Linked DNA regions of Cricetulus griseus. The protein of the gene in region 1 purifies or fractionates together with the protein of each later gene. This does not show direct contact. Links are inferred from orthologs where the notes say so. Each region holds a gene or a part of one and is shown on either strand. Other genes may lie near its edges.

The links. The genes of interacting proteins can lie anywhere in the genome.
Region 2: the proteins of nucleophosmin (region 1) and Rps5 purify together in Homo sapiens (affinity purification with mass spectrometry; 3 studies listed by BioGRID and IntAct, with this or other methods). This does not show direct contact. The link is inferred for Cricetulus griseus from reciprocal best matches to the Homo sapiens genes NPM1 and RPS5.

Annotation. Positions count from the first base shown.
Region 1 is NC_048600.1:48,346,456-48,350,644, forward strand, and holds the start of nucleophosmin, read right to left. Parts: upstream 2,810-4,189; 5' UTR 2,694-2,809; coding exon 2,636-2,693; intron 1,177-2,635; coding exon 1,097-1,176; intron 694-1,096; coding exon 574-693; intron 368-573; coding exon 274-367; intron 6-273; coding exon 1-5. UniProt on the Homo sapiens protein: Involved in diverse cellular processes such as ribosome biogenesis, centrosome duplication, protein chaperoning, histone assembly, cell proliferation, and regulation of tumor suppressors p53/TP53 and ARF.
Region 2 is NC_048602.1:25,507,603-25,511,906, forward strand, and holds the start of Rps5 (40S ribosomal protein S5), read left to right. Parts: upstream 1-1,463; 5' UTR 1,464-1,602; intron 1,603-3,137; exon of another isoform or gene 3,138-3,251; intron 3,252-3,503; 5' UTR 3,504-3,504; coding exon 3,505-3,612; intron 3,613-4,304.

The sequences.
Region 1 (4,189 bases):
TACAGCTGAAATAAGATACTCAGGTGTTATCTTTTTATACATTACCAGATTCCTATTTCAGCATAAGACAACTAAGAACTTTTACAAAGTCCATATTGGAGATCTAGGATGATAGCCAATCTAATTACAAGATCTTTGTGGCTAAACCTCAGTATTCAATCCCAAGGACCCAAGTAGTGGCAACAGACGTCTTCTCTAACCTGGCCAAAACACAAATATTAAAAAAAGCCAGTTCCTAATAGAAATACCAGATTTAAAAACCCAAAAACATACCTACTAGATGCTGTCCACTAATGTGCACAGGCCCTGAACCACACCTCAACCGTAACACCACAGGTGGTGTAATTTCAAAGCCACCAAGGGAAACCTAAAAATGAGCAAATTTCAATCATTAAACATTGTTTTAAGAATGTTTTGCACCAAGCATCACCAACAGAGTTATATAATCAATAAACCTATCTAGAAGCCACAGAGATAATCTCACACTAGATATAACTTATTTGAAACATCTTTGCTTATCCTAAATCAGTCTTAGAGACCAACTTTAAAAACAATGTTTACAAATGTACTTACTGTTGGTTGTACGGACATTTTCAATGTTGCCAGCGTTACTTTAATTGGACTGCCTTCATAGTTCATTGCTTCTGCCTCTACGATGTGTAATTCATCTTTTGCCCCTGCCCCTAAACTAACCTGTGAACAAAAAGAAAGATCCTTCAGTACCCAGTTGTTTTATAAACACCCCTTAAATTTTTTAATTAGCCTCTTCTCACTACTGATAACTAGTCCTCTCATATAATTACGAGATGCATAGACACAAAACACTGTATGTTCCTAAGAAAGCCAAACAACCAATAAAATATAGCCAACAGACTTAAAAAGATCACATCCTGCAGAGCCTTACTAGACAACTAATTATAACAGTGACTGTGGAAAAGACACCCAGTTCTTTGTTACCAGTACATATGTGAACTATTTTAAAGTTATAAAAATACTATTTTTCCATCAGTTAAGGAAGCACAAACTGACATAAATCCCCTCACTTAGATCCAAGTGGCTGAAATCTAATGGCTAATTAATTTCAAAGTTTAAGTACCGTTCTTAGTGACAACTGGTGTTCATTCTCATCATTATCCACCTTAAAGTGATAATCTTTGTCAGCTTTTAGTTCACAACCTGTAAAGAAAAAATAAAATAAATCTAGCAAGATGAACATCACAGTCCCAAACGACCATTAACTTCTACTCTTTTAACTTAAAAATGTTCTCTCCGTGGAATCTACTGTATAAGAAAGCCAATAAAAGTTCTACTTTTTCATAGTAACTCACGACCAATTAATGAGGCACCGTTACCATTTTTTCACAGAAAACCCAATGACCTAAAACTGGATTTTTGCATAGTGGCACCATACCATTATCTAGCACTATTTTTAAAAAACCCAACTTACCTACGTTCTAAAGGAAATTACTACAAATCAACAGTGGTTACACATGACCAGTAGGGACAGCTTAAACCCTTCATGCTTAGAGTACATTAAACATGTACTACTCATTCACGTAGGGGAAAGTGCTTTAAACACTCGGAATTTTGAAAAAATTGACTCGAGTCACTGAAAACCAAACTAATAGACTGTAAAACCGATAAGCTGAATGTGCAGTGACAGTGGGGTCCCCAGAAGCCGAGTTACCAAAGTGATCCCTTAATCTGCTAAACGCGGGAGGCACTTCTCTCTCTTCCCCGGCCCAATCAAAAAAAAAAGACCAGTTGTAGGGAAAAGGATAGTTTCGACTTAAGATTTCGTGGCCCTCTCTTAACATCAAGACCCTTCGACCATCAATATCGTCATCGGCAGCGTGGGGCTGACTCCACCTCTTGCAGAGGCACTAAAGGGTCTCTAAAAAAAAGTCACTACCATCACCGTGGATGCTACAAGATCTTAACAAAGACACGGACGCCACGCGCCACTTTACGCGTTTCCCGCCTAGCACTCCTAATTAAACCACAGGACCCGAAGGACCAGGGTTAAGAAGTGAGGAGAGCCCGGATGTAGAGCCCACACCCCCTCCCTACCCCCAACCACGTGGCAACCACGTGTTCCCAGGGGTTGCGGCCCCCTCAGCCGCAGGGAGCTTGGCCGGCCGAGTCCCTGTCAGCGGCGGAACCTCTCGGATGCACGGGGAGGAGGGGCCGAAGCCCCTGTAAAGCCCAGCGGACTGCACTTATACCGTCCCAACGAGGCGGCGCAGGCCGCGCTCCAGAGGCACCATTATCCCGGGACGCGCCTGGGGCCCAGCGCTGAATTTCAGCTGCCTGTTGCCAGGTCCTGAGGCCTTCTTCACGTATGAAGAGAAAGTGTCGTCACAGCCCCTGCTCGCGCCCCAAGCCAAGTTGGCACCCTCGGCCGACCGCCCTCTCAACGCCAGAGGCTCGAGGCTGGGCCGCTGCCGCCCCAAGCTACGGTCCCGCTCAGCGCCCGGGCCTCGGCTTTCTTCGGCTCCCGCGGCCCAGGCGGTTCCTCCCAGCCGTGCAAAGGCCTCCACCCACGCCGCGCTTGGCACACGCCAGGCCTCAACTGGACTCCCGCCGCCCCCCCAACCACCAGGCCCTGCCCAGGCCCTCCCCGCCAGGCAGTTACCGAAAAGGTAGTTCTGTGGCCTAAGAGGGCTCATGTCCATGTCCATCGAGTCTTCCATGAGGTGGAGACGCGCACTTCGGTATGCGAGATATCGGACGGAGGAAACTGCCTACTGCTCCTCAGAACAGACAAGCAGGACGGAATCACGCCAGGGAAAGGACGCGGGCTCGCCGCACGTATATATGGCCGCAGCAAATCTCGCGAGATCTGCCCTAGTCCCGCCTCCGCGAGCGTGCTCCGGATCCCCCACTTCCCGCACTGTCTCGCTCTTGCGCAAGCGCTGTCCTATCCCACGCCTCTCTACCTCCCCTCCCCACCTCTTCCAGGTGCTTGGCGGGCTCGCACTACGCACGCGCGTCCTCCCTCTGGCCCCGCCCCTCCAGCGCGGTTGCCCGAGCGCAGGCGCACTTTCCCTTTGTAACGCGCTCCAGCCCTCCGAAGCTACCACGTTTCGGCTTCTCCACGCGGGCCCTGCGCGGAGAGGCTGCGCAGCCCACCCTAAAAGATGGCGACTGCCGGCCGGGAACCAGCGGGCGACTCCCTTCGCTGTTCTTCGCCCTCCGGTTCTCGGTAGACCTGCAACAGGCATAATCTCAGGATTTGACCTCCTCGAAGGCTTGGTCTTATTTTATCCTTTTCCCATAGAGCTTCAGGAGCCAAAGGCAGGACAGACGGATCATTAGTAGAATGATTCTCTGCTTGCCACTTTGTCAGCCTTTTTTTTTTTTTTTTTTTTTTTTTTTGTGGTTTTTCCACACAGGGTTTCTCTGTAACAGCCCTGGTTGTCCTGGAACTCACAGGCTGGGTTCAAACTCCCAGGGATCCGCCTGTCTCTGCCTCCCGAGTGTTGCGATTAAAGGCATTCGTCACCACCGCCCGGCATCAGCCATACTTTTTATACCTCTTTTCTGAGGCAGCATCTCCAAAGTCTTAAGTTCTCAGCTTTACGTCATTCGAGGGCCAAAGAGCACCTTTCTAAAAGTTTAGAGGTGTGTGCAGAATTGAGAACACGCAGGTCATCCTTATCATTCCAAATGAAGGCATATGACTTCTAAGAAATACAGGAGCCTTGATTAGAATCTTTGGCTGGGAAATAGCATTTTAAACTGCGTCCCGACAAACATCCCTCAACATTGGGTGCGTACTGAGAGCAGCCCTAATCTTTTTATCTCAACATAGCTAGCAAATGAAAAGGTTACTGGGAGGAATGTGAGTAATGGTATTCATGCCCCCAGACTCTTTACTCCAGAGATGGTCCAATTGGGAAGACCAGTTGAGTATAAAACGTATGAGCAGATTATTAACCAAATCCTAAATTTGGGGGGGAAAAAATCAGCCTCAAGATGTGAATGGGGCCCAGTGAATTTCCACTTTACAACTACTAGAGTAAATCCTGAAACTTGGAAGTACTGTCTATGTAAGCAACTGAGATAAACGGGAAAAGGGAAAACCACAAGTGAGCAGTCTGGCCATTCAAAATTCGAAGGCTTCTAGTCTAGGAGGGAGAATGTTCTTAGAGCCAGGGCGGGTCAAAAAACTACTTCATTGTTTCCT
Region 2 (4,304 bases), on another chromosome or scaffold:
GTGTAAAGCGAATTTTACCTGTGCAAATCAATTTCTGAAGTATTGCTCTTAACCTCTGGGCCATGTACAGGAGCCCCTTATCTACCCTCTGCCACCTCGTAGGTAATTCTCAAAAGGTCAATAAAAATGTCCATTATCAACACTTGTGGTGCAGCGACAGTTTCCAAAGTGGGGGTGACACTCGGTGGCCCCCTGCCTACAACCACCACAAGCCGGGCTCAGTCTTAGAGCTCATGAGGTGGATTCCTGTCCTTTACCCCCTTCCCCTCCCTCCCCACACATAGGTGTGAACTCAGATCAGAAGGAAACCTTATGTCACCAGACTCTGACAAGGCTCAGGGAGCTCAGATCTGATCTATTCACAGAGACGCTTTTAGGACTGGAGAGATGCCTCAGAGGTTAAGAGGCCCGGCTGCTCTTCCAGAGGTCTTGAGTTCGATTCCCAGCTCACAACCATCCGTTATGAGATCTGGTGCCCTCCTCTGGTGTGCAGACAGACATGGAAGCAGAATGTTGTATACACAATAAATATATATAAAACAAAAACCAACATGTGTCTGTATGGTGTCTATTCCCCATTCTGTCCTTACGCCTTAAAGGCAGAGGTCAGCCTAGTTAAAGAGACACACCTGAGCCGGGCGTTGGTGATGCTCGCCTTTAACCCCAGCACCAGGGAGGCAGAGGCAGAAGGATCTGTGAGTTCGAGACCAGCCTGGTCTACAGAGTGAGTTCCAGGACAGCCATGGGGTACAAAAAAAAAAAAACCTGTCTCGAAAACGCAAAAGCCAGAAAAAACACTCCTGGGGTGAGTCTGCAGGCAACGAGACCCCGTTATCAGCACCAAGTAGTTGCGATCGCAGATAAAGGTGAATTCCAATTAAAAGTGTCACCCGAGAGATCCCCGGGGCTGGCAATCTCGCCACCCCCCGGGCGAGCCAGCCAGACAGCTGCTGGTTGGCGACCCGAGTCTCGTGTCCCCGGGTTGGGGCCTTGAGATAAAAAAAAAAGCCGGGACAAGAGAAGCCGGAGTGATCAAGACGGAAGTGGCCCCACGCCGGAAGCCTGGAACTCGCTGAGCACGCTCTCCCGGAGGGTAAAGGGTGGGGCCGCTGCTTGCGAACCCGGATCAGTGGCGATCACGGGGCCCGACCCACTATTTCGGCGACACGCACTGAGCCGAGCCGGCTGCCTTAGCTAGGAGCCCACGGCTCCCGGCGCCTTGGTTCGGCAGCCGGTGTGCCGCGAGCGTGGAACCGACCTGTGCCCTCTTTAGATATGGCGGTGCTGGCTTCGCGGACGTTTCTGCGCATGTGCCCCGCCTCGTAAGCCGGGCAAGCGCTTCAGACATCCGCCAGAAGCCGGTTGTGGCGCTGCTTCTCAGACTGCGCATGCTCCGTAGGGCTCCGAGGTCGCCTCTCATCCTCAACTGCCGATTGGCCCACGAGCGCGTGTGTTCCTCCGCGCCTGCGTCCCCCGCGTCTGACCCGGAAGTTCTCGCTCGGCTTAAAGGCGCCGGCCCGCTGCGCGCGGCCTCTTCCTGTCTGTGCCAGGGCGGCGCGTGGTCCACGCCGAGCGGCCGACGAGTCCCGTCTGCGCCGTCAGGTGAGGCTGCGGGGGGCCCCGCAGTAACAGCGGGGCCGCCCTGAGTGCTCCGGGGGACATCTGGGGACCGGGGGGCGGGACCCGGGGCCTGGGCCTTCCCGTCTGGGCCTCGCCTCTCCCCTCCGGGAAAGCGTGTCCGGAAACCCGCGGGCCCGGCCGCCCCTGGCCGCCCCTGCGCCCTGCGCTGACCCCGTGCTTCCCGCACTCGAGGCCCTAGGGAGGCCACTCGGATGCCAGCATTACGTAGGGGGGTCACTCGGATGCCAGCATTACGTAGGGGGGTCACTCGGATGCCAGCATTACGTAGGGGGGACACTCGGATGCCAGCATTATGTAGGGGGGACACTCGGATGCCAGCATTACGTAGGGGGGACACTCGGATGCCAGCATTACGTAGGGGGGACACTCGGATGCCAGCATTATGTAGGGGGGACACTGGGATGCCAGCATTATGTAGGGGGGACACTGGGATGCCAGCATTATGTAGGGGGGGGTCATTCGGATGTCAGCATTATGTAGGGGGGTCACTCGGATGCCAGCATTATGTAGGGGGGGTCATTCGGATGCCAGCATTATGTAGGGGGGTCACTCGGATGCCAGCATTACGTAGGGGGACACTGGGATGCCAGCATTACGTAGGGGGGACACTGGGATGCCAGCATTATGTAGGGGGGACACTCGATGCTCGGGCAGTATTGCCAGCATTATGTAGGGGGACACTGGATGCAGCATTATGTAGGGGGGACACTCGATGATGCCAGCAGCATTACGTAACTCGGATGCCAGCATTACGTAGGGGGGTCACTCGGATGCCAGCATTACGTAGGGGGGACACTCGGATGCCAGCATTATGTAGGGGGGACACTCGGATGCCAGCATTACGTAGGGGGGACACTCGGATGCCAGCATTATGTAGGGGGACACTCGGATGCCAGCATTATGTAGGGGGGACACTCGGATGCCAGCATTATGTAGGGGGGACACTCGCACATGCCAGCATTATGTAGGGGGGACACTGGGATGCCAGCATTATGTAGGGGGGGCCATTCGGATGCCAGCATTATGTAGGGGGGTCACTCGGATGCCAGCATTACGTAGGGGGGTCACTCGGATGCCAGCATTACGTAGGGGGGTCACTCGGATGCCAGCATTACGTAGGGGGGACACTCGGATGCCAGCATTATGTAGGGGGGACACTCGGATGCCAGCATTACGTAGGGGGGACACTCGGATGCCAGCATTACGTAGGGGGGACACTCGGATGCCAGCATTATGTAGGGGGGGGTCATTCGGATGTCAGCATTATGTAGGGGGGGCACTCGGATGCCAGCATTATGTAGGGGGACACTGGGATGTCAGCATTATGTAGGGGGGACAGCATTATTTAGGGGGGTCACTGGGATGCCAGCATTATGTAGGGGGACACTCGGATGCCAGCATTATGTAGCCACCGGGAAAGTCTAGTTTCGCGGAGATCCTGTTGCTCAGCACACGTTTTCTTCCCGGACAAGGAGGGAGGTAAACGTTTGTGTCGGTTGTCCCTCTGGATTCCTACTGCGGCCCCTAGCCCCGTATCTTACCGACTGAACGCTGAAAGCAGCACCTGGCCTTTTAGGATGGAAGCTTCGTAAATGCACGGGGAAAGCTGGGTACGGGATAGGTGTATATGAGTGTCTGCGTGGACTCGGGAGCCATCCTACTGGGTGCCGTGTACCAGCTGCTTAGCTTGGTGATTTTTTTTTCCCTAGGTTTGTTGGAGACATGTTCAAAGTTGCTGGGTCCCCATTTAACTGCCCAGGTTTCCACCAGATGGGGGTTACTTAGCCTGAAGAGTTTGGGGTCGATGTGATTGTTCTAGGGCGGACGGCAGTAACAGTTTCTTCTCGATGTCCCGTCCCCAGAATGACTGAGTGGGAGACAGCCACACCTGCGGTGGCAGAGACCCCAGACATCAAGCTCTTTGGGAAATGGAGCACCGACGATGTACAGATCAATGATATTTCTCTGCAGGTAAAAAGGAACTTGGTGGTGGTCTGTGGGGCTTTTGGTTGGGAGCAGCTGTGGATTCTTACAGTTCAGAAAGGGAAGCATGACACCCAGGTTTGAATTAGTCTGTTTACCACCACGTAGCAGACCAATAACTGGACAGCCTTATTATAACCTGTACCAAAAGTTGTTACCGTGTGTTGTCACTTTTCATTCTCTGAATCCATTGTCTATTGAGACAGGGTCTCGGATATGTAACCCTGGCTGGCTTGGAACTCAAGAGATCCTCCTGCCTCTGTTGCCCAAGTGTTGGGATTAAAGGCATCTGGTTTGGTATCACTTTGCATTCTATGTTCAGTTAGGTGTCTTCTGTTGCAAAGACCAGTTTAACCAACTGAACAGTGTTGGGATTAAAGGCATCTGGTTTGGTATCACTTGGCATTCTGTGTTCAGCTAGGTGTCTTATTGAAAAAACTACTTTAACCAACTGAACAGTGTTGGCACTCTTGTCAAAGCCAGTTGGTAAGCTGGGCATGGTGGTGCATGACTGTGTTGCTGGTTTCTGGCTGTGGCAAGAAGATTTTGCGTATAAAGCCAGTTGCGCTGTAGTGAGATCTCCTCTACTGCTCTCCTCCCCGAAAGTGTCAGTTGGCTATGGGTGTGTGGGTGCTCTTGAATGGCTGTGTTGGTATAGGTGCAAATTAAAGTGGTTGTGA